Linked DNA regions of Canis lupus familiaris. The protein of the gene in region 1 interacts with the protein of each later gene in a pairwise test. Links are inferred from orthologs where the notes say so. Each region holds a gene or a part of one and is shown in the gene's direction. Other genes may lie near its edges.

The links. The genes of interacting proteins can lie anywhere in the genome.
Region 2: the proteins of DISC1 (region 1) and PPP5C interact in a two-hybrid assay, tested with the Homo sapiens proteins (2 studies listed by BioGRID and IntAct). The link is inferred for Canis lupus familiaris from reciprocal best matches to the Homo sapiens genes DISC1 and PPP5C.
Region 3: the proteins of DISC1 (region 1) and OLFM1 interact in binary tests that used the Homo sapiens proteins (3 or more experiments, as listed by UniProt). The link is inferred for Canis lupus familiaris from reciprocal best matches to the Homo sapiens genes DISC1 and OLFM1.
Region 4: the proteins of DISC1 (region 1) and KCNQ5 interact in a two-hybrid assay, tested with the Homo sapiens proteins (2 studies listed by BioGRID and IntAct). The link is inferred for Canis lupus familiaris from reciprocal best matches to the Homo sapiens genes DISC1 and KCNQ5.
Region 5: the proteins of DISC1 (region 1) and FRYL interact in a two-hybrid assay, tested with the Homo sapiens proteins (2 studies listed by BioGRID and IntAct). The link is inferred for Canis lupus familiaris from reciprocal best matches to the Homo sapiens genes DISC1 and FRYL.
Region 6: the proteins of DISC1 (region 1) and AGTPBP1 interact in a two-hybrid assay, tested with the Homo sapiens proteins (2 studies listed by BioGRID and IntAct). The link is inferred for Canis lupus familiaris from reciprocal best matches to the Homo sapiens genes DISC1 and AGTPBP1.

What each region holds. Positions count from the first base shown.
Region 1 is NC_049225.1:8,246,607-8,252,093, reverse strand, and holds the start of DISC1 (disrupted in schizophrenia 1 protein), read left to right. Parts: upstream 1-2,195; 5' UTR 2,196-2,215; coding exon 2,216-2,273; intron 2,274-5,487. UniProt on the Homo sapiens protein: Involved in the regulation of multiple aspects of embryonic and adult neurogenesis. Required for neural progenitor proliferation in the ventrical/subventrical zone during embryonic brain development and in the adult dentate gyrus of the hippocampus.
Region 2 is NC_049222.1:110,161,059-110,166,089, reverse strand, and holds part of PPP5C (serine/threonine-protein phosphatase 5), read left to right. Parts: intron 1-39; coding exon 40-161; intron 162-983; coding exon 984-1,049; intron 1,050-1,366; coding exon 1,367-1,465; intron 1,466-2,274; coding exon 2,275-2,380; intron 2,381-3,123; coding exon 3,124-3,266; intron 3,267-3,414; coding exon 3,415-3,502; intron 3,503-4,318; coding exon 4,319-4,359; intron 4,360-4,449; coding exon 4,450-4,628; intron 4,629-5,031. UniProt on the Homo sapiens protein: Serine/threonine-protein phosphatase that dephosphorylates a myriad of proteins involved in different signaling pathways including the kinases CSNK1E, ASK1/MAP3K5, PRKDC and RAF1, the nuclear receptors NR3C1, PPARG, ESR1 and ESR2, SMAD proteins and TAU/MAPT.
Region 3 is NC_049230.1:51,050,352-51,055,382, forward strand, and holds part of OLFM1 (noelin), read left to right. Parts: intron 1-1,326; coding exon 1,327-1,482; intron 1,483-2,905; coding exon of another isoform or gene 2,906-2,911; exon of another isoform or gene 2,912-3,234; intron 3,235-3,417; coding exon 3,418-3,637; intron 3,638-5,031. UniProt on the Homo sapiens protein: Contributes to the regulation of axonal growth in the embryonic and adult central nervous system by inhibiting interactions between RTN4R and LINGO1. Inhibits RTN4R-mediated axon growth cone collapse.
Region 4 is NC_049233.1:35,493,118-35,498,148, forward strand, and holds part of KCNQ5 (potassium voltage-gated channel subfamily KQT member 5), read left to right. Parts: intron 1-3,568; coding exon 3,569-3,744; intron 3,745-4,433; coding exon 4,434-4,559; intron 4,560-5,031. UniProt on the Homo sapiens protein: Pore-forming subunit of the voltage-gated potassium (Kv) channel broadly expressed in brain and involved in the regulation of neuronal excitability.
Region 5 is NC_049234.1:44,999,689-45,004,399, reverse strand, and holds the end of FRYL (protein furry homolog-like), read left to right. Parts: intron 1-496; coding exon 497-687; intron 688-989; coding exon 990-1,248; 3' UTR 1,249-3,114; downstream 3,115-4,711. UniProt on the Homo sapiens protein: Plays a key role in maintaining the integrity of polarized cell extensions during morphogenesis, regulates the actin cytoskeleton and plays a key role in patterning sensory neuron dendritic fields by promoting avoidance between homologous dendrites as well as by limiting dendritic branching.
Region 6 is NC_049222.1:74,592,437-74,597,467, forward strand, and holds part of AGTPBP1 (cytosolic carboxypeptidase 1), read left to right. Parts: intron 1-731; coding exon 732-861; intron 862-1,746; coding exon 1,747-1,878; intron 1,879-4,229; coding exon 4,230-4,406; intron 4,407-5,031. UniProt on the Homo sapiens protein: Metallocarboxypeptidase that mediates protein deglutamylation of tubulin and non-tubulin target proteins.

The sequences.
Region 1 (5,487 bases):
TCTGATTATGCATTCTGGAACTGGAGGAATGACTACAGGATGTGTGCAGACACCCACTGTGAGAGGGGTGTCTAAAATAAGACTCTGATCATCTGACCTCCACAAACCCCTACTGTGATTAGTGGGACACAAAGATGGTTTGGGCTTCCTGGAATTCGTGTTGGCTCAGAGCCAGGGTCCAGTCACTTCCGAAAGGTCTGATTATTTCCTTTCCCCCATTGCAGGTTCACTTTTGTAAAAGGCCACATGTCCCTTTGGGGGAGGCTAAAAAAAAGAGTAACAGGATAGAGTTTTGGCAGTGTTCCAGGTCTTTCCTCCTTCATTCGAGGAGTTCTGGATCTGTAAACTGACTCAAGTCTGGGAATTGATTGAAGGTCTGAGTCCCTCTGTTTTAACTTGGAAGCAAGTTAAGCTTTTGTTCCCTTGACCTAGAACTTTTCCGCTTAACAGATCAAGTAAGAATTTAGTAGACTTCTCATCTATTTGACTTCAGGGAACACCATGATCAAATATACCCACCTTGCCGATGGTGATTGATTGCCACCATTGGCTCCTGCCGCCCTCAGATCCAGTTAACCCCATTGCACTGAAGGGTCCCAGTTCAGTGGTTGCAATTCCCACTGTAATTTCTGACCCACAGAGAAGAATGACCAAGGATACTGGGTCGCAAAGCTATTTACCGGAGTCATGGTGACAGGTGTGTCCTCAAGACCCTCCCAGAGAGCAGCTTTTACACGATAATTTCATTCCAATATTCCAATCTCCCTAAGCGCTTGGGTAGTTCCTTTACAGTATTCCAAGACAAGTCTGGCATCGCCACCTCTAGCATTTAATGTAGATCACCTCTTGGTCCATGTTTAAGTCAACTAACCGAACAAAAAGTGAGATGCCCTTCTAATCTCTCAAACTAAATCACTGACTCCAGATCTCCATTTAGTGGTCTATATCATTAAATCCAGCCTGATCCAACTTTGTGTTCCTTCCACTGTTTTCCCACATTCCTTAATATCCATATTCATAGTCATCCTGTCCCCAAACATGCTGGCTTTCAAGCGCATCTGTGTTTGCACCCACAGGGGTTTTATCTTTTATTTTATTTTAAAAAAGATTTTATTTATTTATTTATTTATTTATTTATTTATTTATTTATTTATTATATATTTATTTATTATTTATTTATTTATTTATTTATTCATTCATTCATTCATGAGAGACACAGAGACATAGGCAGAGGGAGAAGCAGGCTCGCCGCATAGATTCCGATGCGGGACTCAATCCCAGGATTCTGGGACCACACCCTGAGCCAAAGGCAGAGACACTCAACCACTGAGCCACCCAGGCGTCCCGGGGTCTTATCTTTTCAAGCATCTTGGCGCTCTATTTCTAGCCAGATCCTTCCCTTTCCTCCAGAAAGGCTTCCTGACACTTTAAATACTCTCTTAGCCCTCGAATTCTGCAACATTTTTTAATGCCAACCAAGCCTCTGGCTCTCGGCATGTATATTGTTAGTTAGTTTTATACGCAGATGTTTATGTTCCCCCCTGGAGGTGAGGTCCTTAAGGACAAGAACCATTTCTGGCAGGTGCTATATGGGGTGGGGGAGGGGGTGGGGGTGGGGGTGGGGAGGTGCTCCAGCAGCCTCCTAGGTTGAACCAAAAGGAAGGGGTGAAGGACATCAGTCAGGGGCCCTAAGAGCTCCACCAGGGCCACAGCCTGCCTGCTGGGCCGGGGGCCAACGTGGGGAGGGGCTCTGGGACCAGTCACTGCTGCCAGAAGAGTCAGAAAGTTGGATTCCCATCTCTGAGCAACTGCTCTGGCATCTCTCTGCCGTGTGGCCTGTCCTCGTCCCGCCTCCCCGCCCCCACCTCCTGCGTCTCTTGCACCGACCCCTCGGCCACTTCCCTACGGCGACGTCGGGGAGGCGCCCGCGCAGAGCGCACCCCGACGGCCGCCGTCTCCCCTGCACACGCGCCCTCCCCGCGCGGCTCCCCTCGGCTCGCCCTCGCCCTCGCCCTCGCCCTCGCCCTCGCCCTCGCCCTCGCCCTCGCCCGGGGGAAGCGCTGGGGGCCCCGCCGCGCGGCCGCCTCGCCGCGGAGGAAGGCGCCTCCCCTTCGGCGTCGCCCCCCGCCCCCGCCCCACTTCCCGTCCAGCGCGCGGTCGCTTCCCCTCCGCGGGCCTGTCCGCCGCCCGGGAGCCGCGGGAGCCGCTGGGGCGCATGCTGGGCGCGGGAGCCCGAGGCGCGCCGGCCGGAGGCGGCGGGGGCCCGCGCGCAGGTAGGGGCGCGGCGGGGGCGGCGGGGAGTCCGGGCGGGGAGTCCGGGCGGGGAGTCCCGGCGGGGCCGTAGGGGCGGGGCTGCGCCTCCGCCACCACCTGGGCTCACGCGCCGCTGCGAGGCGGGGGCGACCGAGGCAGGGCGCGGGGCGCGCGGGCAGGAGAGGCTGGGTCCGGTCCCAGCCGCCCCCGCCCCCGCCCCCTGCGAGCCGGCGGGTCCCGCGGCGGGCTCGGGCTTGGGCCGGCGCCCGCGACTCTCGGGGTCCAGCGGCCGGGACCCGGGCGGAGGGCGGCGGCGGCGGCGGCGGCGGCGCGGGGCGCGGGCACCTCCCGAGGCGCTGCCCCGAGAGCGCTGCCGCCTCCCGCTTCCCACCGCGCCGCCCGGACGCGGGTCCCGCCGCCACCCCCGGTCAACACCCAGGGCTGGGACGGCTCGTCGCTGTCAGCAATGAGGGGGCGCGGCCGTCGCACTGTTCGGCACCTGCGGCGGATGCAGGACTTCCCTCGCAGGGAACCGGGTTTGGAGTCGCGGTGCCCCGGGGTGTGTCCCTGCTGCGCCGGGAGGGGGCCGGGGACTCCGGACGCTTCCCCCGCCTCTTGGAACCTGGGTTTCCTCAAATGGAGGAGGGCTCGCTCCTGACCCTAACGTGTGCTCGGTTAGACACATGAGGCTCGGATAGGGACAGTCCCAAGAGCTGGGAGTTGGAGACAGTCCAGCCTGGACTCGCTCACTCCTCAGTCTACCCATTTGTAAAGTGGGGGCAGTGTCCGTGCCTCCCTCCTAGGTTATGCGGTTTCAATGTGGCAGTGAATCTGGAGCGCGGACTCCAGTGCCTGAGATACACAGTGCGCTCTGAATAACCTTAGTTCCTGTTTTTACTGAGCGAAACCTAAATAATTTGGAGTGATGTGGAAATACCAATTTGATTTGATTAACGTATAAATAGCAGAGCATTTATTTACTTATTTAAGATTTTATTTATTTATTCATGACAGACACACAGAGGAGACAGAGACACAGGCAGAGGGAGAAGCGGACTCCCTGCAGGGAGCCTGATGCGGGACTCGATCCCAGAACCCTGGGGAACCCAGCCAAAGGCAGACGCTCAACCACTGAGCCACCCAGGCGTTCCTATTTTATTAAAAAAAAATTATTAATTATTTTAGAGAGGGGAAAGGACAGGACAGTGAAAGGGAGAGAATCTCAAGTAGACTCCTTACTGAATGGAGCTGGATGGGGGCTCCATTTCGTGATCGCCCCAGATAGTGACCTGAGCTGAAATCAAGAGTCAGATGCTTAATCGACTGAGCCATCCAGGTCCCCCAGTAATGGAGTATTTTAAAAGAAACTTAATTTTATTTCATCCAGACACGGCCTCCGAAGGCTTTTTGAGGTTTTGTTGTAAATCAGTGCTACTGACCAAAAAGAGCCTGGATCTGCTTTCTGTGCTCTGTAACCTTGGGCCTCAGTTTCCTCATCTGTTTAAAAAAAAGACCAAAGACAAGAAAGGTAGGGGTAGCAATTAGTGCTTTTGGTGCTGATAGAGCTGCCTGAAGATCAAATGGGGTAGAAGATCTGAAAGTGCCTCGAAGAGTGTGAGTCACTACGCAAATATAAGACGTGACTGCTACTAGCAGGGAATAATAACATCTGCAATTTTTTAGAGCCTATAATGTGCCAGGCACTCTCAGGAATTCCTTTGATGAAATCCATCCTGAACCTTTGTGCATTGGATATTTATAATCTTCATTTTCTCTATTCAAAGCTGAGATTCAGGATTATTTTGCCTCTTTCCCAAGGTCACGTAGCAGTTTATGTAAAGCCACGATTAGAACCCTAGGGTGGGTGCCTCTGGCAAATGTGTTCTCAACCACTGGCAAAACTGAAGTTATGGAGACAAGCCGTGGTTCAGAGTAGACCTGTGTTAGATTATAGGAGATAATATATATCCTAACATGTTTAAAGAATCTGAGGGACACCTGACTGGCTCAGTCAGTAGAGCAGGTGACTCTTGATCTTAAGGTTGTGAGTTCAAGCCCCATATTGGGCATAGAGATTACTTAAAAAAAAAAAAAACATTAAAAAATAATTTCACTACATACATAAGTGTATATACTCATGAGTGAATTGTTAGCCCTGGCAGATGAGGTTTTGAAATAAACTTAATTTTTTTCATCCCTATTTTAAAATCCCATTTAAACTATTTTCTTGCACAAATAATGAAAATTTGCAGAGGGAAAAAGCATTAAGATCTTGAAAGACATATCTCGAGGATTCATTGCAAAGCTCAGACAATAAATGAAATCTCAAAAATGTTTTACTTAAACATTTAAGTTTGCCAGAACTCTTAAGGTGGCACAAGAGGTGTAAATTGGTATTGAAGCTTGCAGCGTCACGATTATCGTGCAGGGGTGGGACCCTGTATATTTCTCTAGGGACTTTACTGCTCACCTGAGATGCCCCCAGAGGGAAATGGACCTTTAGAGAAAGTCTGTGCATCCGAGGGAGAGTGAATGCCAGGTCTGTCTGCTGCAGAAACCATTCCAAAATCATTTCTTTCCCAAATGAAATTTATCTTATTATTTTTTCTTCTTCCAAAAGCACTACACAGTCATCACAGAAAGCACAGAAAACAACAAACAAGAAAAAGAACATTAAAAATCACTATGATCCCATCAATGCAGGCAAATAGCTTCACATCTCTGTTCTTGTAACCCATTTCTGTGTTTTGTTAATCAATTTAAATGTCTTAAGACTGGGATGCAAACTATTATTGTTTTGTTCAATGACAAAAGTAATACTTGCTCATTACTCAATCATCAAGACATTAATTTGGGAAATAAGTAAAGATTTATTACGTGCATTAAAACTTTTCCTTTAAAATGATCTTAAAGATTTGATTGGAAAATGATTAGAAATTAAGTTGTTGATGTCTGAGTTTTATTGTGGTTTTGGCCAAAGTTCAATGAAAGACCTTCAGAACAAAGAGAGGGTACAGTGGTGATCTTGAAATAGTAAGATCTAAAAATCCAGTATCAAGCAAAGATTTTGAGTATAAAAATAGGTAACATTTTAAACTAATGTTATTAGAATTAGACTCATTGTTTTGATAATCATGATAATAATCAGTTTATAAGCTGGGTTCTCATACAAAGTGAGCAGAGAGCCCTGCTTCCAGACATTTTTGGCAGCCACTCCTAGGGGTGGGGACAGTC
Region 2 (5,031 bases), on another chromosome or scaffold:
GCCACTGACTCTCGCCCCTGCTTTCCATTCGCACACCAGCCATTGAGGATGAGTACAGTGGGCCCAAGCTCGAGGATGGCAAAGTGACAATCACCTTCATGAAGGAGCTCATGCAGTGGTACAAGGACCAGAAGAAACTGCACCGGAAATGCGCCTACCAGGTAAGGCCTGTGTCAGGCGCTGCTCACACCTGTCACCCCACAATAGCATCGCAGCGCTGGCAGTGCCCAGCCTCAGCCACGGAGGGCAGGTTGAGAAGAAGGGTGGCCACGGCAGCCGGCACCACCGAGTGGGGAGTGTGCTGAGCAGTGCAGAGGAAGGCTTTATTTCTGATGCTGCATTTTCGTTTCTGGCATTTCCATCTAGTTATTTTTATTAATAGTTTTCATCTCCCTGCCCCATATGTTCATGCACGTTGTCTTTTCCACTAGATCTTTTACACATTTATCATAGTTATTTTAAAGTCTCTGGTAATTCCACCATCTGGGTCATCTCTGGGTCTGCTTCTGTTGTCTGTTCTTCATGCGTCTCATCCTTTTTTAAATCGTATGCCAGACATTTTGTGTAAAAGAACGGTAGAGACTGAGCTGAGTAAGAATTCTCCGCCGAAGATGGCGGCCCCATCTTGTGTCAGGCCACTGGTGTGAGGGGCTGAATCCCGGCAATCTGCAGTTGGCGCAGCTCTTGGTGGTCACCGCTGACTCGTGGTGTTTTCACACTGGAATCAGGACTCTCCTTCAGCCCTGGTAGCATCCTGGGAATGTCTTTAAGTTGTGAGGTCTCCAGCTTCCAGAACTGTGGGAGCACTCGGATTTTCAGCCCCATAGCCAGATTTTTGGGGGAGTTCTGTGCTCTCCAGTTTGCCCCCACTTTTCCCTGCCCTGCATTCAGTGGTGCCTCCTGGTCAGCCCAGGCTCTCCGGGACCCGGAGTGGGCAGCAGGCAGTCCCACCGGCTGCGCTCACAGCCTGCCCTCCCTTCCAGATCCTGGTACAGGTCAAAGAGGCCCTCTCCAAGCTGAGCACGCTCGTAGAGACCACACTCAAAGAGGTGCGCACTGTTGGGTGGTGTGTGGACTGGCCAGGGGTGGGGGGCTCCCTGGCTGGGGAGGGGCTGTGGAGCTCAGAAACTCACAGACCCAACTGGCTTGGTCTGCCTTTCCTCTCCCCCCACCTCCTGCCTCTCCCCTGAATGTCCCTCTCCCCTCCTGGTCTTTGTCCCACCCTCTCCATTTCTGTGTCCCCTGCTTGTGTCTTTTGCATGCCTCTTCTCGGTCTCCCGTGACCTCTTGCCTCTCCCCTCACCTCTGCCCCCTCCCCACGTCTCTCTCTGGGCCCCTCCCTCTCCGGTGGCCTCTTTTCTTCCAGACAGAGAAGATTACGGTGTGCGGGGACACTCATGGCCAGTTCTATGACCTCCTCAACATATTTGAGCTCAATGGTTTACCCTCGGAGACCAACCCCTATGTATCCTTCCTCAGAAAAGCACACCCTCCCCTTCCTCCACCTGGATTTGAGAAAGGCGCTCCTGCCACAGAGCAAGGCGTGGACCTGCAAAGGGAGAAGCCTGACCAGTTGCTCAGGCACAAGGATGTGGTGGGAGTGGCCGGCCAGCACCAGATAGGCCAGGGCTCGTTCCCTGCATGCTGTGTGACCTGGGCAGGTGGCTCAGTCTCTCTGGGCCCCAGCCTCTCTTCATCTCCAGATGAGGCTGCCACAAGATCATATGTGTAACAACACCAGGCACCGCCACTTCCCAGCTGTGTGACCGTTAGCAATACCTCCTCTCAGTGCCTCAGATTCCTCGTTTGAAAAACGGGGATCGTAGAGTCTGCCTCATTGTTGAGAGGGTTGCAAAGAGCTGAGGCTCTGAGCCTCACAGAGCTGTATAAGTGTTTGCTGAGGTTATGACAATTGCTTGATTAATGGCCACCGTGTGGGGCCACCAGGCCTGCACAGTATGCGGTGGGAGGGTCTGTGTTCCATTTCCCCTATGGTTTTGGGCTTGTATTTGGTTAAGGAGGGGGAGCAAAGTGAGCTGACCACCTCATGTCCCCCTCTACCATCTGTTTCCCTGAGAAACAAGTGAGGTGGGGGATCTCAGGACTGTCCTGCTGAGGCTCGGATAGGCCCAGCTGCCGGGCCAGAGAGAACACCCCAGATCCTCCAGGCTTGCTGACATCCCCACTCCTAGGAAAGAACCGGGAGCCATGGGACCTGGAAAGGCAGGGGAAGAAGGCAGTGCATGCCCCACCTCGTTTTCCTTAGCAGAGCAGATATTTAATGGCGACTTTGTGGACCGCGGCTCCTTTTCCGTAGAAGTGATCCTCACCCTGTTTGGCTTTAAGCTCCTGTACCCAGATCACTTTCACCTACTTCGAGGTAAGCTGGGCAGCAGCAGGGTTTGGGGTCAGTGTGGCCTTGTGTAGGATGAGCTCGCCAGGGAACAAGGAGCCCCGGGGGAGGGGGGGGTCCTGTCCATTGAGAGATGGAGGGGGTAAGGGTGGGCCGGGCTTGGGGCTCCCAGGGGCCTGAGCACTAGTGGTGGCCAGGTTCATGGCCAGGTTCGGGGGGCTCACACAACAGCACTTGGTACACGGTAAGTGCTCAGTAACCACCTGCTGTGGGCTTCTCTGTAGGAGGTGGTGAAGAGGTGGGTCTAGCAGAAGACTTGACTAATCCAGACTCAGCAGACATGGGGGCCTGGGCAGCTTCTCTGTCTCCCCTGAGCCCCAGGAACCCGGGAGGGGAGAATGAGGTTGTGTGTGGGAAGTTGGAAGCACAGCACGAGGCCAGCCCATAATAGGTGTTCTGTAGCAGGCCCCTCCTTGGTCCTTCTGGCTTACAAGGCACAAGGCTTCTCCAAAATGAAGCCCAAGGCTGAACCAGGCCTGCACCTCATGGCCACACACCTGATGTGTGCTTTTCAGACTGTTTCTCCCTCCAGAAAAGGGACCGAGAACAGTGTCTGCACCTTGTCAGGTTTCTGTGAAGGGCCAAAAAGCAGAGGTGTGAATGTTGTGGGCTTGGGGCTGCCAGGCAGTCACCCTAAGTCCCAGGACGTGGGCCCCAGGGGCGCCCAGGCAGGGGATGCTGAAGCTTCTCTTCATTGTGCTGCTGGCCAGGCAACCACGAGACGGACAACATGAACCAGATCTATGGCTTCGAGGGAGAGGTGAAGGCCAAATACACAGCCCAGATGTATGAACTCTTCAGCGAAGTGTTCGAGTGGCTCCCACTGGCCCAGTGTATCAACGGCAAAGTACTGGTGAGGGTGGCAGATAGGACCCCTCAGGCTCCTCCCACCCCCGCACCCATGGGGGCCACACGCAGGCAGATATGCTGGTGAAGCAAGTTGGAGGGGTAGGGTGTGGCTGGCGCCTCCACTCACACAGCCGTGTCACTCCCACATCCAGATCATGCATGGGGGCTTATTCAGTGAGGACGGCGTCACCCTGGACGATATCAGGAAGATCGAGCGGAACCGGCAGCCCCCAGATTCAGGTGACCAGGGTGGGCTGAGTGGCAGCCCCTTCCTTTCCAGGGCTGCAGCATCTCCAGCAGAAACGGGTGGCCCTGCCCCGGGTGGGCTTCACACCCTCGGCAAGGACAGCAAGGCTGAGCCTCTGTGTCCTCTGATTGCCGCACCTCCTTCATGGGGCTGGGCTGGTGAGGGAGCATTTGTGTTCACGGGGAGCACACATCGGTCACTCATTTGTGAGTTCAGCTGCCGAGCCCAGAGAGTGACAGACAAATCAGGGCTCCTGTTCCAGCAGTGAGGACCGACGGAGCGTTCTCATGCACATGCACACAACTGTGGGAAGTGCTGCCCGGGCCTGAAGAGGTTAGGATGGCCTCTCTAGGGATGCCACATTAGAACTCATGGGGAAGGACACACCTGCCACATAGAAGATGTCTGGGGCAAGCACAGGGGGCCCCACATCAGGGGTGAGTTTGCAGGTGGGAGGAACAGCTGGCAGGCCAGTGGTTTAGGGGTAAGCCAGGATGTACGTTAAAGGGATTGATGAGGCCAGACCCCGCAGAGCCTCACAGGCCTGAGTGGTGAGCTTGGGCTTTGTTCCTAGGGCAGTGGGGGCCACAGCAGGCTTTGAACAGCAGGGGTGTGTGATCTGAGCTATACTGTTTAAAGTTCCTCCCATTGTGGGGCCATAATACATTGAATGGGTCTGGAGGAAGGGGAGGTCACGAGGCTCAGAACCCTATTTCACATGCCCCTGCTCAGGGATGCCCTGCCCAGCCCCCACCCCACCTGTGCTGTGGGGTGGGCCAGTCCCTGACGTCCCCTCTCCTCCCCCCCAGGTCCCATGTGCGACCTGCTCTGGTCAGACCCACAGCCGCAGGTCAGTGTGCGCAGGGCTGCGGCCGGCAGGTGTGGGCTGCGGGCAGAGAAGGGTGGGGCGGTCAGCACCCTGAGCACCCTGTCTCCCCAGAACGGACGCTCGGTCAGCAAGCGGGGTGTGAGCTGCCAGTTTGGCCCTGATGTCACCAAGGCTTTCCTGGAAGAGAACCACCTGGACTACATCATCCGCAGCCACGAAGTCAAGGCCGAGGGCTACGAGGTGGCGCACGGTGGCCGCTGTGTCACAGTCTTCTCCGCACCCAACTACTGGTGGGTCCCACCTCCTCCGCTGATCTGGGCTTCTTTTTCTCTCCCACTGATTTTTTTTTTCTTTTAATTTTACAATAACGTTTCTAAGAGAGGTAAGAGTAGGTCAAATGGTATCAGGAACACCTGCGTGGCAGTCACTCAGATTCAGTAGTTACCAACTCCTGGGCTCTTTTAAAGCAAACCCCAGGCATCACCTCTTTTATGCACCGACACCCCCGTATGTTTCTGAAAGAAAGGACTTTCCTTTTCTCTATGCAAGCAGGGTACCACTGTCCTACTGTCAGGTGTCAGGAGAGGTAACCTGAACGCAGAGCTCTGTTTCCTCATGTCTCACATAAATGTCTCTTTGCAGTTTGAGTTCTTCCTAGTAGGACCCGAGTAAGGGCCCCATTCTCAGTGTCCT
Region 3 (5,031 bases), on another chromosome or scaffold:
AAAACGACTCAAGAGACAGGATCAGAGCACGTCAGAGTCACCCACGTGTTGTATTTTACATACCTGGATTTTTAAACTGGATTTGTGTGTCACTTTTAAATAACGAGCCATAAAAATCCCAGGCATTTTAAAAATGCTGCAATGAGTAATATCGGTTTTTCTCCTACTGAGAAGCCTTTCTTTCGGTTGCGCTCTTACTTTGTTTTATTTGCGGGGGTGGAGGATGTACCGTAAGTGGTAGAAACCGCACTGTCATCTTTTCACTGACCGAGTTGAGCTACGTGTCACACCCAAATGATTCTGTTCCTGAAAGGGAGAGGATTTTCGAAGGCAGCGAGGAACCAGAAATGGAGATTTGCTTGTGCTTGTGAGGGTAGCTGCTTCGTCCCTGGTAATTGGATGAGGTTCTGAGAAATGACCCAAACGCCACCGCGCAATCCTGAGTTCCATCCGCCTCCCCACCGCCCCAAATGCATGTGCTCAGAAGCACCAGCCAGTCTCCCAAAAATAAAATGCATTGGCAGGTGGCTGCATGAAAACTGTTTTCCTTTTAAGCTCTCTGGAATCCTGTTGAATATTAAAGTTCCATCTTGAGGCGAGACTCAATTCAGATCCGCCTGCAAAGATGTAAAACAGCGATTCTTCATTTGCTGGGTGATTGATTCCTGACTCTATGCTCTGAATGTGTGTGTTTGCAGAGCAGTCATCTACCTATGATACCGTGGGGCGTGATGGATGGCGCGCAAGATGGGGACAAGGGTTGATGCACAATCAGGGGGAGCAGTTTCCTCGTAGCCTGGCTCCACGCTCCTGCGATCGAGCTTCATGGCAGGACTCCAGTGAGATTTAGGGGGACAGGGAGCCTCCACCGGGGGTGCAGGGAGCCCGACAGCACTATTCATCCTTGTTGGTTTTTATGCCCACCTAACCCGTTTCATCCTGCAGAATAAAGAGACTGAGACACAATACCATCCCCCGGACAATTAAGGAGGGAAAAAAAAAAGGTCACCCAAAGCCATATACACCTGGAGCTGTGAGCAGGGAGGACCCGGGGCTCCTGTTGCATCCCTGGCTGTGAGAGCAAGCATTCTGGAACATGGCAGAGGAAATGTTTACCAAACCAATTTGCTCTGTTTGGGGAGTTCTTGGTCATAACACTCCCCGACGCTGGTGATTAACTGGTAAATAATGCATGGGCCGCCTCTGGTTCCCAGTGCGTCGGCCGCATGGAAAAAAAGGTCACTGTCATGTATTAAGAGGCAGATATGACGGCAGGCGTGGGCGCCTGTTGCCGCTCCTTTCCTGAACCTGTTGCCTTTTTGGCAGGTGCAAAACATGTCTCAGTCCATAGAGGTCCTGGACAGGCGGACTCAGAGGGACTTGCAGTACGTGGAGAAGATGGAGAACCAAATGAAAGGGCTGGAGTCCAAGTTCAAACAGGTGGAGGAGAGCCATAAGCAACACCTGGCCAGGCAGTTCAAGGTATGTATCCTCCCTCTCCTTGTCCTTTCCTGCCATCCCCTTCCCCTCCAGAAATAGAAACTCGGGGTGGGGGAGGAGCCCTGCAGAAATTGCCCTTTGCCTTGAACGCGGCCTCCATCCTTGGGAACGGAGAGGCGGGCTGCCCTCGCCCTGGTTTGGCAAAAGGGCCCATGAAAGGGATGGTTGGATGGATGGATGGAGCAGTGGTTTTCAGCTCCCGTTAGCTTCTCAGGCTGGGGTCCCAGGACCTGGCTTCTCAAGCCAGTGCACAAATGAGCTGGGAAGGGACACGACTGGTCCTTGTCATTCTGCAGCTGCTGTAGGTAAATCACATTAGCCAAGGATTAACTTAATTGATTAGAGCCATTTCTGAGCAGGGATCACTCAGGGCAATTTTTCACATCTGACCTAATTTAGCTATGACAAGGCACACTGTAGATTTGCAGGGAGGAAAGAGAGAGACACCAACATCTTTCTCACTTCCTGGTAAGTGGTTTTTGTTTTCGTTTTTCTTCTCTCCGGGTAACTCTGGACATTAAGGCCAGAGTTTGACCTAAAATTATATATACATATATAGAAATATGTATATATATATGCCTCTAGTTTGCTCAGCTTCAAAATGATCAAATTGAAAAATTATATGCACCTTAATTAAGGTATACATGCATGTTAATTAGCAATCTAGGCCGGATATAAATGAACAGGTCAAATTACACAGCCCCGCTTGACTAGAAATTGCTGATGCTCTGTCTTCCTGTCCTTTTTATGCTAATGTTTTCCTTTGATGTGCTCCCTGCATGAAGCAAGAACTAATCCGCTTTTAAAAGCGATACATTATATAGACGAAACGGCAGGCTAACGAAGTAATAAATCTATATTATAAATAAAATAATGGCAGGCCTGATCCTCTTGAGGAGCAATGAGCCGATTGCTCACGTTGGAGGCAGGTGAACATGTTGTCCTTGCTTCTGACACGTCATCGTGAATTATCTCGGAGAGAAATTTCGACCCGCCTGACCAAAGAGTTTGTGTCTCTCCCTGAAAGGCCAGCATTCCCTTCGCCATGGTAGATTCCAATTCCTCTGAAGACGGGGGCATCTTTAGCCACCATGGGCTAGCTCGTCTTTGCAGGCACTGTCCACGCAGGCGTCTCTCCCAGTTCCAAAATTTGGGGCCGTATGGCCCCGGGGGAGAAAAAAGCAACCCCTGGCATTTGACCATGCTTTAATTGCATTATGAATTCCACCAGGAACTGTGAGGGAATCTCTATAACCGTTAAAGCCGTTGGTTTGGACTAAATCTGGCAATGAAGTGTGATTTTTTTTTTTAAGTGACCATGAAAATATTTGTCTATGAATGGCTGTCTGTTTAAGGCAGGCTAGTGAGGTAGCTCTTCAACGGTATTTCATTTTCTTGCTTGCAGGGCTAACTTAAAAGAGTTTTTTCAATGCTGCAGTGACTGAAGAAGCAGTCCACTCCCATGTAACCATGAAAGAGGGTCAGAGAGCTTTTGCACCATGCATTTTTACTATTATTTTCCAATACTTAGCACCATATCACTAAGGAACCTTGAACACAACCAGGATCCTCTTTTGCATGCGACTGTAGATGCATTCCATGGATAGTTTGAAACCCTTGTCAATGCATTTTTTGAAAAAGAAAAAAAAAAAAAGAAACTTTGTGTGTGTGACTAAAAGCATGTAACCTTAAGATGTTGCATTCTAAACTGACAATAAAGACCTTTCCCAAATATGTTGGTGTTCTGAAGACTGGTTAATATGCTCTTCTAACTCTCTTGGGCCAGAATACATAAACCCATAAATGAAACAGGAGTGTACACACATGCTCCCTCGCCCGGGGAGAAGCCAGGCCAAGGAAGGGTGTTGCAAGTTTTTGCACGCAGAGCACTGAACCCAGCTTATTTTAACCTTGCAGGCGATAAAAGCGAAAATGGATGAACTTAGGCCTTTGATACCTGTGTTGGAAGAGTACAAGGCCGATGCCAAATTGGTATTGCAATTTAAGGAGGAGGTCCAGAATCTGACGTCAGTGCTTAACGAGCTGCAAGAGGAAATTGGCGCCTATGACTACGATGAACTTCAGAGCAGAGTGTCCAATCTTGAAGAAAGGCTCCGTGCATGCATGCAAAAACTAGGTAGGACCAGAACCCTGCGGGGCCATGGCGCTGCACCTGCCACCTCCGCTGTCGTGCAGGCATAGGGAGTGGTGCTGAAGTTGGACAGCGCCCGCCTGGCTTCTGGGAGGCCCTGGCCGGATTAGGGCTCCTGGGTAGGGCTTCCGCTTAGGAGCGTAGGTGGCACTCACCCTCAGCCACTGACCCACCCCGTGCAAAGGGCAGCTCACCGACCCCATGAAGTCACACATCTGGAAAAAAAAAAGCATTAGACGCCACATACCATCTGTATGTGTGTGTATGTGCGCTTGCACACGTGAGTGCGTGCGTCTGTGTGTGTAGTGGGTGAGTTTAGGACACAAGTTTAATAGGGCTGGAAACATACATCTCGGATTCTCTCCAGGTTGGGAACAAGGGCTGACGAAACTCCCGAGATAGCAGATCATGCGTAGTTTGGATACACAAGGAAAGAAAATCTGGTCACGGCGCCGTAAGAGGACTGGCCATTCACAGCGAGTAAAAGCATTGGTCCATCCCAACAGCTTGGATGGAGGGAGCCTCTGAGTCCATGGGCTCCTGCACCCTGTTGTTGCTTTCTGGGGGACGCCCCCCCCCCCGCCAGATTCTGGGCTGTGTTTGAATTCCCACTCACCTTATCAACATCCCTGTTGGTTGCTTTCACAAATCTTGACTTGTTGGCATCTGAGCCCACTTCTGGCACATTTCAACCTCCAGTCCATTCTTAGATTTTCATGTGAGGACTAGCTGGCACTTCTCACCTCCTGTTTTTTGACACCATGGTTGCTCATGTTCATACTGTATATTTCTTAGGATACCTTGGGGTAATTTTTTGGGTAATTTTCGTTTATGAAGAAGTTGCCCTTAGGTTTTATCTGATATTCTAACTTGATTCCCTCACCTACCCCCACCACCACACACCCCAAATGCCTTCTTATAAACTTAAAATGTCCCAGAGTAGTAAATACTTTTTAAAATCCCTGGTGCCTGAGGTGAAAGGGAGAGAACATCTGAAGGGCAAGGAAGTAGTCGGCCAGCCCCCCCGTTGGATGGAGCAGGTCTGCATGTCCAGCTGGTCTTGAACGCCACTGTAGGCCTCCCAGCAAAGGCAAACACTCGAAAGTCCCCCAGACCCGAGGAGGACCATGAGAGGCGTTAGAAGTTTAATCTGCTTTAACGTGGGCACTTCTGCTGTGTCACACAAGGGATTGTCTACTGCGTTTTTCCAGTGATGTGCTTCATGGAGCCCCAGTCCTGGCGTGTCAGGGGCCAGGGGACCTGGGATGGCCCCCAGGAGGGGTTGGGGCCGAGCAGTCTCCACAGCGCTTCCCGTTCTGACATGCCAGGGGTCGGTGTGGATGTTTAGAATGTTCACAGTTACGGGGCTATCCTTATGA
Region 4 (5,031 bases), on another chromosome or scaffold:
AAGTGTTGAATTACTATATTGTACACCTGAAATTAATATTACACTGTATGTTAACTAACTGGAATTTAAATTAAAACTTTTTAAAAATATGCAAATAGAATCCTTTGAGAGAAAGACTGAAATGGGCCTTTCTGCCTATTCCTTCTTCGCTGAGCCCTGGGGTGGTAGCCGCAATGATGCTCACCCCCATTAATAGCTGCTTCTTTGTTTGCTCTAGTCTTGTAGACTAGACTACAAGTCTAGTCTTGTAGTTCAAGACTATTGGCTTTCAGAGCAAGGCGTTTGGAAGTCCTGTCCCTCAAGTAGGAGTTTTAAAATTAGGAGGCTAAATGTGGGTTCAAACCCTAAGCCTCTCAGGGAGAAGCTGGAATTTGGGAGTGACCTCCCATTTGTATGATACTGGACTAGGAGTGAAGTTTAAGGCAAGATTATGTCTTAGCCTTTCCTACTCATTCCAGTATGGGTATTTTCTTATTTACCAAATGTGTAGGAGTCCCTTGGCTAATTTCTGGATTTCCTTCACAGGGAATTAGTCCATGTGCAATGGTTTGTTTGATGACTCTGTGGGAGGAAGGGAGTTCAGTAGCTTCCTATGTCACTATCTTTAAAGACTGCCCCTACCTAATTTTATAAAATGGAAATCTTAGTGATATTTATCACTTTAAAGAATGATAGCTATAATTTATTATGTTGTAATAGAATTCAAGATGGAATTTTGAAGTGATCCCTTGATTAATTTAAGAGTATTTCAGATTCTTATTCTAGTTATTAAAACACTGATATGGTAACAGAACAAAGCTCAAGCTAATCTAACTTGAGTGTTTAATCTCACTTCATTCTATAAATATTTATCAAGTGATTACCATGTTTCAGGCACTGTTGTAAGTACTTAGGCTACAAGTATCCAACCTTGTGGAGCCTCCATTCTATAGCAGACTGCAAAAAAGAGTAAATACACACATAAAAATAAAGAGTAGTCATAACTTCTAAAATATTGGCCTTGGAAATATTCTAGGTGGTACTGACAGCAAAATTCAGTAGAGGACTGTAATCCAACCAGAAACATTTTTGTGACTGTGTTCATTGTTTGCCATTTGGTCGCTCATCTGTGATTTCATTTTACTGAACTCCAACTTTCTCATCTGATCTGAATTACAATGAGGGTGTTAAATCACATCTGTAGTTACCTTTGCATATTTTGTGACTTCAAACACTTAGATTATGATTCACTGTGTGCATAATTTTTTTAATAGTCTCAAACTGGCGGTGTTGCTTTTACTTTGTCTAGGTTTTCTCTAATGAATTAACTTCATAGCTTCATTCTAACTTCATAGTTTGTTTTTTTTTTAACTTCATAGTTTTGTGCAGTAATTTAACAGCTCAGTAGCTGATTCTTCTAAACTAATACAATATGTGCTTTTTGTGCCTCACTTTTCTCATCTGTAAAATGGGATCTGTAGAAGACCTAACCAAAACAGTTGTTATAAGGATGAAATAATTAACATTTGTAAAAAACACAGAACTAAAGAAAGTGCCAGGCATGCAGTAAGTTTTAAGTGCTGTATTTTCTGCATCCCTGCAAGTCATTTACTTATTTCTACTATCTCAAATATTTTAACACAGTAAATCGGATATTGTTCCTTTTTCTTTCCTTTGTACACTTGGAAGGAAGCAGGATTACAATGAGAAATAAAAGCAAATACATATCTAGCAGGGCCATATAAGAAATGTCTTTTTGTCTATAAACCACTTGTCTCAGGAGTAAATCTCTCCAAATGATGCAAATCAAGAGATGTTTTTACACTTAACTCTTTCCTAAAGATTTTCTCTGATTTCAAAAGACATTTTCATTATTATAAAATTCAGTATTACAGAAATTAATAACTTAGAAAGTAAAAAGTCCCTTTACCCACATACTCACCCCACTCTCTACCTCTGGAGAGAATTAATGGTAAGAATCTGTGTATATATACATACAGATATACAGATTATTGTATACATATATACATATTATTGTATATATCTGTATATATTGTGTATATTTACATGTGTTTACATACATATATTGTATATATTTGCATGCATATATATGTATGATTTTCCTAGTCATTTATTTTTTATTAAAATAAGATCACATTGTACATACAGCTTTGCAAGTGCCTTCTTATTCACTTAAAATATGTCTTTGGTGTCTGTGTCAACACATTTAATTCCTTCCCATTTCTAATAGCTGCATAGAGCTATAACTCAAGGATTTGCTTGTGGCTCTCTGTGCCCCTACCCACAAAGTCATATAGTGGTTAGATCTGATTGGAAAAAGCCCTTCAGCTGACCCTTGTACTGACAGCCACTCCAAATCCTGACCAAAAGGGGCACCAGGAGAGTCATTCAAAAGACCTACTCAGTCCACATCCAGAGATGAGACTTCTCTCAGTACAGGAAAAAGAATTGAGCTGGATGATGAATACACATTCATACAGCAGTTAATCCTGAGGATCACAGAAACATTATAAATCCAATGCCCTTGAAGTGGAACTCCTCTCTGGAGTGTGGATGCCCAGTCATGCACAGCCCACTTGGAGCAGGAAAGAAATTTTATTTGAGGATGTTAAGGTCAAGCTAACTTATTTTAAAATTGCCATAGGAGGCCATTCATTCCCACTTTACTTCTCCCACTTCAAAGCCTACTTCCCATCACTCAGATATTTGCCCTTGGAGCAATTAAGTCCCCTTTTATCTTTTCTATGCCTTCATTAGCTGCCCTGTTTCTCTTTCTTAGCTTGCAAAAGGGTAGATATTTTTTACGTCAAATGCCAATACGCCAAACATCAAATATCCATTCCCATGCAATGCACAGTGAAGATAATTAATACTCTGTTGTAATAAATGTACAATTATTTAATTTGTATACCAAACTTACACATAATTGACTGACCAGGTATAAAGAGTACTCTATCCAGAGAGCTTAGAGTGCCCAACTTAGCTGAGGCCTTTGTTAGTATATGAAGTTGCAGACTCCACAACACAAGGGAATTTTTTGCAGAAAGAAGCCACGAGCTTCTTTGGAAAGAAAACAAGAGACATGGTTATACCAAGAAGAACTTTCATAGCCATGCAGGGTAGGATCTCTCTATGGCATTAAGAAGGAAGCCTCCAGGGTAGGGCTGAGGCAGAAGTTCCTTTCTGCCAGACAGGAATGCAAATGAAACCAAGCCTTAGTACTCCCTGGAACTAAGAATACAGCCTTAGAACTCCCTGGAACACTCAACTTTCCAAAGGCCATTGTCCATCCAATTTGTCCAAGGTTACGTAGCAAATGATACAGAATTGCATAGGTAAAGCATACAGTGGCCAAAGAGTCAGAACCAAGGTAATAAGTAGATCCTGTTCTCCGTTCTTTCATTTTTCAATTGTCACAGAGCCCAGGTAGCCACTACTCCAGGCTAGGGTTCAGGATCTGTTTATCTGTGCCTCAGATAGGTCAAAGCGAACCTTTCTGAAACACTATTTTGAGCAACAAAACGTCCAAGTCCTGCTACTTACGGTTATTTCAACCTGTTTCTTTCAGATACCATTGTCCTTATCGCTTCAATAGCAGTTGTTTCTGCAAAAACTCAGGGTAATATTTTTGCAACGTCCGCACTCAGAAGTCTCCGTTTCCTACAGATCCTCCGCATGGTGCGCATGGACCGAAGGGGAGGCACTTGGAAATTACTAGGTTCAGTGGTCTATGCTCACAGCAAAGTAAGGCTTGCTTTCTGAATTATAGAATAAGACTTTAGAAACCTTTTCGTTGATTGCCATGGAATATTTAATGAACCCATCAAGCATACTTAGTCATTTCAGAAATTAGTTAAAGCACAATGTATAATGGATTACTTAAAAGTCACCATATGGTTGCCAGAGGGAAGGAGATTGGGAGAAGAGGCAAAATCAGTGAAGGGGAGAGAAAGAGACAGCGTTACAGTTATGGAATGACTAAGTCACAGGAATGAAAGGCACAGCACAGGGCATCTAGTCAGTGATACTGTAATAGTGATGTGTGGTGACAGATGGCAGTAACACTTGTGGTGAGCACAGCATAACATACAGAGAAATGGAATCAGGATGCTGTACACCTGAAACTAATGTAACTGTGTGTCAACTCTACTCAAATAAAAAAATACTGCTTTCCAAGTCCTCATGCTTCAAATAAATTATAGTAAACCCATGTATTTAGAATACTGTGCAACCATAAAAATAAAAGACTGAGGAAGTGGTTCTGTTCACTGGGACATTCTCTGAATAAAAAAGTAAATTCCATAAATATATATGTATGTATATTTATACATTGTCATAAATATCCGAAAAGTAGAAAAATGAATACATAGATTTTTTTTCCTTTTTCACAGATTTTTTTACCTCTAACAGCTTTTTATTCTTTTTATATCTAGGAATTAATCACAGCTTGGTACATAGGATTTTTGGTTCTTATATTTTCATCTTTCCTTGTCTATCTTGTGGAAAAGGATGCCAATAAAGAGTTTTCTACATATGCAGATGCTCTCTGGTGGGGCACAGTAAGTATAAAAATCTGTTTTTGTTTTTTGGATATTGTGAAATGTTTCCTTTGAATACAGTGTAATGATTTCTATGAATCATTTATGAAAGGTCTCAATAAAAACATTAACTTCCAAAAGGGAGTTATGTGACAATATACAGCACTAAAATTGTCTAAAGAGTTTTGTCATCTCTATGGCTCAACAAAATTAAGTTCTCTTATAAATCATCAGAAGCACTTCTTGAGTGCTAGATTGTTTCCAAAATAAGGATACATTATTTTTTTAAACTGTGATTAAAATCTTGATAAGTTGTTTGTTTGTTTTAACTTTGTGGAGCACAGATTTAAATTACCAATTTTGCACTGGCTTACCATTCATCAAGAAGTTTATCTGAGGTTAAAAGAAGGAATAGTAACTGAATGAAAGCTAAAGTAAAATTATGGCACAAAAAGTGAAAAAGAGAAAACTGGTAACCATCTGTGAGATCAGA
Region 5 (4,711 bases), on another chromosome or scaffold:
ATAACATTTCCCAACATGGGACTCAAACTCACGACTCCAAGATGGAGAGTCACATGCTCCACCAACTGAGCCAGCCAGGCGCTCCTATATCCTTTTACTTTATCAAGAGTATTTGAAGACTACTCTTTGGTAGCCTACCTAATCAAGAACTTGAAATATTAACTGCCTTTAAACCACTAAGTTTAACATTTGCAAATCTTTAAGAGAAACGATGCCTAGGGATGCCTGGGTGGCTTAGCGGTTAAACACCTGCCTTCAGCTCAGGGCATGATCCTGGAGTCCTGGGATCGAGTCCCACGTCGGGCTCCCTGCATGAAGCCTGCCTATGTCTCTGCCTCTCTCTGTGTCTCTCATGAATAAATAAATAAATAATAAAATCTTAAAAAAAAAAAAACGATGCCTATCATCAGATATATCTTTACTGCCAATTAAATGCCCTTTTTGTTACTCGATATACAAATAGATCCTCCTTTCAAGGTATACTGATTTGTTTTAGGTCATCAACATGTCCGAGGAACTTGCCCAACTGGAAAATATCCTCAAAGAAGCAGAGTCGGCTTCAGAAAATGAAGAAATTGACATCTCCAAAGCCGCACAAACTACTATAGAAACTGCCATTCATTCTTTAATTGAAACCTTGAAAAATAAGGAATTTATATCTGCTGTAGCACAAGTAAAAGCTTTCAGGTAAAATGTGAAGGGATTTCCTATCTCTAAACCTAGATTGGGATTTTACAATGACTGGGTTTGGGCTTTAATGTTTCAGTATGTCTTTATGAAAGTATGACTTTGATATTTTCTACAGTTATCACTGAAATGACACCAATTTTAGGTGTCAGGCTTCGTTAATCTGAGTAATACATTTGCTCAAATATCAAAACAGATCTTCAATGATTCACAAGGAAATTTTGCTATAGATATTAATTTAAAATGTACTTACTTTTAATAATTGTTTGAGTCTCAGGACTTAAAAATATTGTGTATTTCAGGTCTCTCTGGCCCAATGATATCTTTGGCAGTTGTGAAGATGACCCCGTGCAGACGCTGTTACACATATATTTCCATCATCAGACACTGGGCCAGACGGGAAGCTTTGCAGTGATAGGCTCTGACCTGGACATGTCAGAAGCCAACTACAAACTGATGGAACTTAATCTAGAAATAAGAGAGTCTCTACGCATAGTGCAATCATACCAGCTTTTAGCACGGGCCAAACCAATTGGAAATTTGGTGAGCACTGGATTCTGAGAAACTTCAGGCATTTAGGGAAGATGACGAAGAACATTAATGGGCACCTTTTATAAACCCTTGCAGTTCACTGATAACTTTTCCTGGCAGCATCCAGAACCAGAGTGTAACTAATGCCAAGCTTTTATCAGATAAAGAACGGCAAAACCCAAGATCTGAAGAAAAGAAATCTAACAGCTGCCAATACCTCCCACAATTAACTGTATGAAGAAGGAATTTTTTAATTACTTAACCCATGTGAAAAAGAAAAGGGCTAAAAGTGATGCATACAAATACATTACTTTCTGGAGAAAGAAGAGAATTCCAAGACTGTTTGCAATAATGGCCTCTAATACTGAGACGTTGGAAAGCAGGTGACATGAGGCTAAAATCCAGGCTCGTTCATTTTAGCTGAAGACCTGCCAAGCTGCCTAGATTTCCAGCAGCCAGAAGCATACTCTACAGCTGACGCTTAATCATCTACATGAAGAACCTTCAGTCGGATAGATATACACAGACTTATTTGCAAAAAAGAAAAAAAAAAAAAAACATTGGATTTTTTTTTTTCCCCAACACGTGGGATAAGGGCGTGGGTGTTTCTGTTTTTTAGTCTGTATAAGGGATTATGTGTGTGTGAGCGGGGATGTGTGAGTATGTGATAGTCCTATTTTCAAGGTATGGATGTTTGGTGATAACATGTCAGAGCATGCCTAAAAGAGCACTGCAAGATTATTTTTGAAGAAATTTTATTTTATTAGATCTAACTCTTCATAGTGTGTAAATGTTAGAACACTTTAATAATATTTTAAAGCTGGGCTTTCCCGGTATTTTGAAAAGAAATAATATATCTGTTAATGTTATTGGAATGCTGCTCAGTTCTCTGATCAGTGCTTACGTTACGATTGTTGATAACTAACCAAAGTAGATGCCTGCAGAGACTTTAAAATGTAAAATAAAGATGTATGCTGCCCGTCAGCTATTCTCATTAGAAAAGTTAACTTATTTTACTCCATAATTATTACAGAAACTGTATAGATGAAAACCAGTATTGTACATTCGTGCAATGCACTGTTCTACAAGAATAGGTATACAAAGCTAAAGAAAAGATCGTGGTCACTGATGGTAGGATACATGACTTGCGGGCTCCGAAGTCCGCAGAATTCAAGAAGAGAGATGCAAACACATTTTTATATGTTTCATTCAGGACTCACGTGTTTCACCCAAAAGGAACCTGGGGCTATGGGGGAAAATGAAAGGAAGCCTGAAGACCGACTACCAAAACACGCAATATACTCACTCCTGTCTCAGCCTGTAGCATAACAATGAACTGGATTCTCTGTCCTTTTTTAAATAGCATTTTGTAAAAGAAATGAATGTAGTCCCACAATTCCTCTGATTTGAAAGGAACACCTTGTATTTTTTATAGGCATCTCTTATCCACTGTGACTTTCTTTTAAACTGGGCTCTGTGATTCCAGAGTTTAGAATGTAGAAATGAAATGCTTAGCTTTGCCTTTTCTTGGGGGTGTGGACCCTGCCAGAAATGTAATTATGCTCAAGTGCATTAATTGAAGGCACTGTGCACGCCGTTGGACTGCTGACTATAGTTATGTTACCTGTAAAATTCCATAACTGGTCACAGCACATTCATAATCACTGTATTTTTTGACCCTGATAAAAAAAAAAAAAAAAAAACAATTATTTTGATGGTGTTCTGGTACTGTAAATGGTGTCCTTTAAATTATTTAATAACTTTTGGGTGTGGGGCAGGAAGAGCGGGATGGTGTCCAGAGACACCCCACACTTTACATCCTACCTTACCATCCCCCTATTTTCTCACCCTCCTTATATCCTTTTTGTTAAAATAAAGAAGCATTGTAGCTGTTGATTTGTGTTGTATTTTAAGGATGAATGATTATAGTGTGCATCATGTAGTGACTTTTCAAATATTGCCCTCATTCTTAAACATAACTCTCCCCAAAAGAACAAAGTTGAGAACAAATTAGGTTGACTAATTACCCAAACCATACCTTTGAACAGTTGAAATTTCCTTTTCTTGTTTATGTAGCTAAGTTGATTAACAAGATGAATGCACCTACAGAAAGCAAAATGCAAATATAAAGGCATTAGGGTTGTCCTTTTGCAATTGAGTTTTCCTAAAACCTATACTAGTTCGCTCCTCTGAATCCAACGTTTGCATTTAACAAAGTATATCAAATGCTTAGTTTATTAAATACCCTACGTAGTTCCACACAGAGCCGTTTGTGCTCACATAGGCCTCTTTCTTTTGCCCATGAGGTTGATCATTTTTTAAATAGTAAGCTTGTGAGACACCCAGTGGCTCAGTGGTTGGCTCAGGGTGTGACCCCGGGGTCCGGGGATCTAGTCAGGCATTGGGCTCCCCGCAGGGAGCCTGCTTCTCCCTCTGCCTGGGTCTCTGCCTCTCTGTGTCTCTCAAGAGTAAGTAAATTAAAATCTTAAGTAAATAAATAGTAAGCTTGTAAAATAACACCCAGAGAAGAGACCTGGCTTTTTCTTTTACACAATTTAGAAAATATTTCCTTTCAGTGATATAGAGGGCGTGGTACAACCTACCATAAGTTTAAGAAATAAACACTCTCTTGGAACAAACTCACCAAAGCCAGTAAGCTTTCCTCATTTAGGTCGTGGAGAACTGCTCCTACACCATGCCTCATAATCTAAATGAAAAGAAGATACTAGAATCAATGTAATCATAATTGCACTTCATGGCATTTAAAAAATTTTTTCCAAGTAATCCACTGTCACCTTAGCAAATGCAGGATATAAAGAACCCAAGAGGGGCCCCTGGGTGGCTCAGGTCTTGATCCCTGGATCGAGTACCCCACCACCCCCTGCTGGGGGCCTGCTTCTCCCTCTGCCTATGTCCCCGCCTCTGTGGGTCTCTCCTGAACAAATAAAAGAATCACTTGATACCCAGAGGTAACAGTGTTCTGGGGGATTTCGTTCTAGTCAAAGTCTCTCTTGCTAAACATACATATTATGTTATACATGGGGCAGCCCCGGTGGCCCAGTGGTTTAGCGCCGCCTGCAGCCCGGAGCGTGATCCTGGAGACCCGGGATGGAGTCCCACGTTGGGCTCCCTGCATGGAGCCTGTTTCTCCCTCTGCCTGTGTCTCTCATGAATAAATGAATAAAATCTTTAAAAAAAAAATACATGGGAGATATATATAAAGTTTCCTTTGTAGTTTGACAGTGCTAATTGCTAGGATGTTACCACAACTTTTAACATAAGATGTTTTTGTGCCACTTAGTGTGTAATGAACAAAGTAAAACCTGTTTTGATGCTGGCTTTCCTCGGCTGTAAAACCGCTCAGCTACTCTCTTAGCAGTCGTAGTGACAAGCTCTCATGTATAAAGAATGACTGACACCCAATTTCATAGATTCAGGACTCCCTACAGGTGTGTTTCTCTTGTTCCCTCACTCGCTCCACTAGTGTTTAGGG
Region 6 (5,031 bases), on another chromosome or scaffold:
AAGAGGGCCCAGCCCAGATAGCACTTTTTCTTTTCTTTTTTTTTTTAAAGTAGGCTCCAGTGCAGCCTGGAGCCCAACGCTGAGCCCGAACTCACAACCCTGAGATGAAGACCCAAACTAAGATCAAGAGTCAGACACTTAACCGACTGTGCCATCCAGGCACCTCCCAGATACCACATTTACATAACTAATACAGTCAAAGTACAGGATGTTAATATATAACAAATGATTATTACATAGTCGGAATAAAAAATGTGACCATTAATAAATTTTATAGAGCCTGGAATAAGACTCCAGAATTGAGAATTAATTTTTTTCTTTTTTTTAAATTTTATTTATTTATTTGAGAGAAAACAAATGTGTGTGCCTGTGTGAGCAGAGAGAGGGGCAGAAGGAGAGGGAGAGAGTATCCCTGCTGATGCCTGACTCGATCTTATGACCCTGAGATCATGACCCGAACTGAAATCAACAAGAGTGAGAGGCTCAACAGACTGAGCCACCCAGGCACTCCTACTTTTTTTTTTCTGTAGCTTGAAAATGTTGACCTAAATATCTGAAAGTCTATTAGCACAGTTAAATGCATGAAACACAAAATCTACATAAAGCAAATAATAAGTTTTTATTTAATGACTAATATATTTACTGTTAAGTAGTTCTCAACTGAAAATCATAAAATTAAGTCAAATATATGTAAGAGTTTATTGTTGTGGTTGTGTTTTACATATGTGTAGTCACCGCTGTTCTTTAAGTGGAGAGGATTTGAATAGACAATGGCAAAGTCCAAATCCAGATTTACATCCTACAATTTACCATGCTAAGGGGCTGCTACAATACCTGGCTGCTGTGAAACATTTACCACTGGTAAGTATTTGTACTTTGTCTAGTTAAAGAAATGATTTTGTTAATTAAGACTCAGTATTTTAATTAAGACTCAGTATCATTTAAAGAAATGATTTTGTTAAGTCTATTAATTTTTTAATTTTATGGTTATAAAAGTGTTCGTTTTAAAGGCAATTTCTTTAAAATATCTTCTGTTATCAATTACGTAATATCAGTATATAATGATGTCAAATTAATACAATGTATCCATATTCTTATTTCATCAGGTTTAATTTTTATAGTTGCCAGGAGCCCTTTACTTAACTTTCTTATGCATATTGTGTATATATGCTGCTTCTGTATTCAGCAGCTTTTGTGTATAATGTTCCCATTATATTATTGTTTAAATGAGGTAATCTTCCTTTGGGAAAGATAGGAAAACTTTAGAGAAGGAACAGCATTGATATATAAGCCTGTTCTTCATTATTCATTTTAAAAATAATGCTCTTAAAAATTAAATTGAAACCATATCTTTTTTTAGATAGTGTTTTTGAGAGCATTTTCATGTTCTTTCAAATTAAGTAAATGTTTTAATAATCCTTGGATCAGTGATGATTGCTGCTGTAAATTTGACCTATAATTGAATTTTATTTTTTTAAGTGGTGAATAGTAGATACATAAGAAAGGAGGAGCTCGTGGTGGGTTGATGCAGGCTCTAGAAAGGATTTAGCCATTCTGGAATTAATCATAGATCCTTTTCAGAACTAGATATTATTACTTTTATTAGTTCTACTTGTTAAATGGTGGCTCAGTTACAATATAAAGGACAAAGAAACACAGACCTCTACTAATTGTCTTGATATTAACTAGCTTTATTTGGAAATATGTGAATTTGAAGTTTTTTAATTTTTAAAATATATTTTCAAGGTTTATTGTGATTATCATGGCCATTCCCGAAAGAAGAATGTATTTATGTATGGCTGCAGCATCAAAGAGACAGTATGGCATACCAACGATAATGCCACTTCATGTGATGTTGTGGAAGATGGAGGATACAGGGTAATTATTACCCACAAGTCTGGAGTTTTTGGATTTCAAACATGCAAAGCTCTATAGAAAAATAACATGCACGAACTTGTCAGATTCAGCAAGTGTTGCCATTTTGCCATTTTTTTGTTTCAGATTTTTTCATGTTAAACATTCTAAAATTTTTGCTTTTCATATTTAGATTTTTAATCTATTGGGAATTTATTTTTGTACAAGGGCTTGGGATCTAATTTTAGCTTCCCCATATATAGCCGGTTGTCTCAGCACCATTTATTCAACAGTACCTCCTTCCTGTGCTGATTTATGAAGCCATCTGTTACATACCATGTTTCCATGCATCTGGGTGTATTTTGAGGCATGCCCAGGACTGAAAGGAGATCTTGCTGTCTCACATCCTGGGTGTTTTCTGTTCAGGCACAGTGGTTTTCCTACTGTATTTGTGCTTCAACAAAGCACCTCAGGTTATTTTCCCAAAAAAGTTTTAGTAGCATACCACTGCTATGAGCAGAAACTCAAGGGCCATTTTCTTTCTGGTGTCCTCTCTCTTCTTCCCCTTTCCCAAGTAAATAAAATGATTAGAGTTCTATAAAAAATGGGAACTCCAAAAAAAAAAAAAAATGGGAACTCCAAAAACAAAACACAGTAAGTGAAAGGCATCATCTCTCAGTCACTAATCATTTATTTCTACCATATTTTTTGTGAGACTTGGCTCTAAGCACATTTGTTCTTAAGTATATATACATGTAGTGTATGAAGTTCTGTTTTTTTTTTTTTTAATTTTTATTTATTTATGATAGTCACACAGAGAGAGAGAGAGAGGCAGAGACATAGGCAGAAGGAGAAGCAGGCTCCATGCACCGAGAGCCCGACGTGGGATTCGATCCCGGGTCTCCAGGATCGCGCCCTGGGCCAAAGGCAGGCGCCAAACCGCTGCGCCACCCAGGGATCCCTGAAGTTCTGTTTTTAATCTGCCACCACAGCCAGTGTGCATTGCTGTTCATTTTTATCACTGTACAGATGTACCAAAATGTATTTATTTAGTCGTCTGACCTGTTAGTGGTTGTTTAATTAGTATTGCCAGTTTGCCCTACATAAAGATTGTATACTGCCCTATGTAATGACTGGCAGTGCTGTTTCCCATCCTTAGGACATCATGCTGCCACCTGGGGCAGGTAACTGTCTGTTTTAATTTGCATATCTGTAATTATAAATGAGGTTGAGTATTTCTTCATATGTTTGCCCAATTATGACCCCTCCCTCTCTTTTAAGAGCATTTTCTTTTCTTTTTTTTTTTTTTTTTTTTAGAAAGGAGCATTTTCTCCTATTCTCTGTTTACTTTTATACTGGTCCTCTAATTATTACTGTTTTTAAGACAACAAATACATTAAAAAATGTTTTTGTTTATGTATGGTAATTTAAAACTTGTATCAAAAAAAACCCAACAACCTTGCATCATATTTGTTAATTTCTTTTTCTTTTTCTTTTTTTTTTTTTAATGACTTTTGGGTTTGAGGTTTAGGAAGACTTCTCATCCCAGGATTTAAAAAATGAAGTTCCATGTTTACTGTTTTTAATTTCATTTTGAAATTTTACTCCTTATGAGTTTAAATTCTCAGTCCAATTAGAATTGAACTTAACTAAAGAGTGTGGCTTATTTCTCTCAGTGGCTCTGCAGTGATGCCAGCAGTGAGAGAGTGATCAGTTTTCTCCCCACTAATAATTCTAATTTTAACATCTGCCTTTGGTTCTAATTCTGAATTCTTTCTGGAAATGTATCTACTCCTACACAGTATTACAATTTAACTTCCCCTACATATATAATTAGGTTAATATCTGTTGGATTCTTTTCTCTAGTCAAAGCTTCTCTCAAAGTGCCCCTGGCTGTGTCCTCATGCTTACACATTCCAGGTGAACCTGAGAATGATAGGAAGTTGAAAAAAATGTCATGGGCATGTTGATTGTGATTATCTTAGGTCTATTGGTTAATTAGAGGTTATTGATATTTATAATGTTAAATCTCTTAACAGGTCCTCTTTCATGACTAAAGTTGCTTTGTTTTTTAAACATGGGTTTTATTTTCATCTTTTTAAACATTTTTTAGAATAGGTTTTGTTCATTTATTGGTTGCTACTGTGAAAGTGATCCTTTTTTCCATTCTAACTGATTACTGTTCGTCTTGGAAAATAGAAAATTCTAAATTAGTAAAGAATTATTTTAATGCTTAGAATAGGCGGGGACAAAGCAAGAAGATCCACATGGCCCTGCTCTAATCACTGTGCTTTCATGAAAATTTTTTAAAATGAAAAAAAATTATTATTTAAAAAAAACCTTCTTGAAATATTTTATCATTCTTATCTTTGCAGACTTTACCTAAGATACTGAGCCATATTGCCCCAGCATTTTGCATGAGCAGCTGTAGCTTTGTAGTAGAAAAATCTAAGGAATCCACAGCACGTGTTGTAGTTTGGAGGGAGATAGGAGTACAAAGAAGCTATACCATGGAAAGTACTTTATGTGGCTGCGATCAGGGAAAATATAAGGTAAAACATTACAGGATTTCAAGTAGTAAAAATTATTTAATGGACTTCCCTTTCATATAGTATACTGGGGGTTTTCAAATATATATCAAATGATACATTTGTTATACTGAGTTATATATAGTTTGCAAGAATGGAATTGAATCATACACAATTATTTTTTACTTCTCTGTACTTAAATAGCTTGCTTTGGGCCTTTATGAAATCTTGGATGAGCCCATCTAAATTCATAATTTTTAAGAAGGCATGTTGTGGTACATATTTAAATATTGATAATTTATAAATGAGCTGTACAAGTAGTACATTATTAATAAAAATTTTCTATAATTTTAATTTGTTGGATGTATTTTTGTACATTTAGAAATAAATACATTTATAAAGTTTTGTATATTTAGATTTGTGTGTGTGTTTAACTTTTTTTTTTTTTTTTAAAGATTTTATTTATTTATTCATGATAGTCATCAGAGAGAGAGAGAGAGAGGCAGAGACACAGGCAGAGGGAGAAGCAGGCTCCATGCACCGGGAGCCCGATGTGGGATTCGATCCCGGGTCTCCAGGATCGCGCCCTGGGCCAAAGGCAGGCGCCAAACTGCTGTGCCACCCAGGGATCCCTATGTTTAACTTTTAA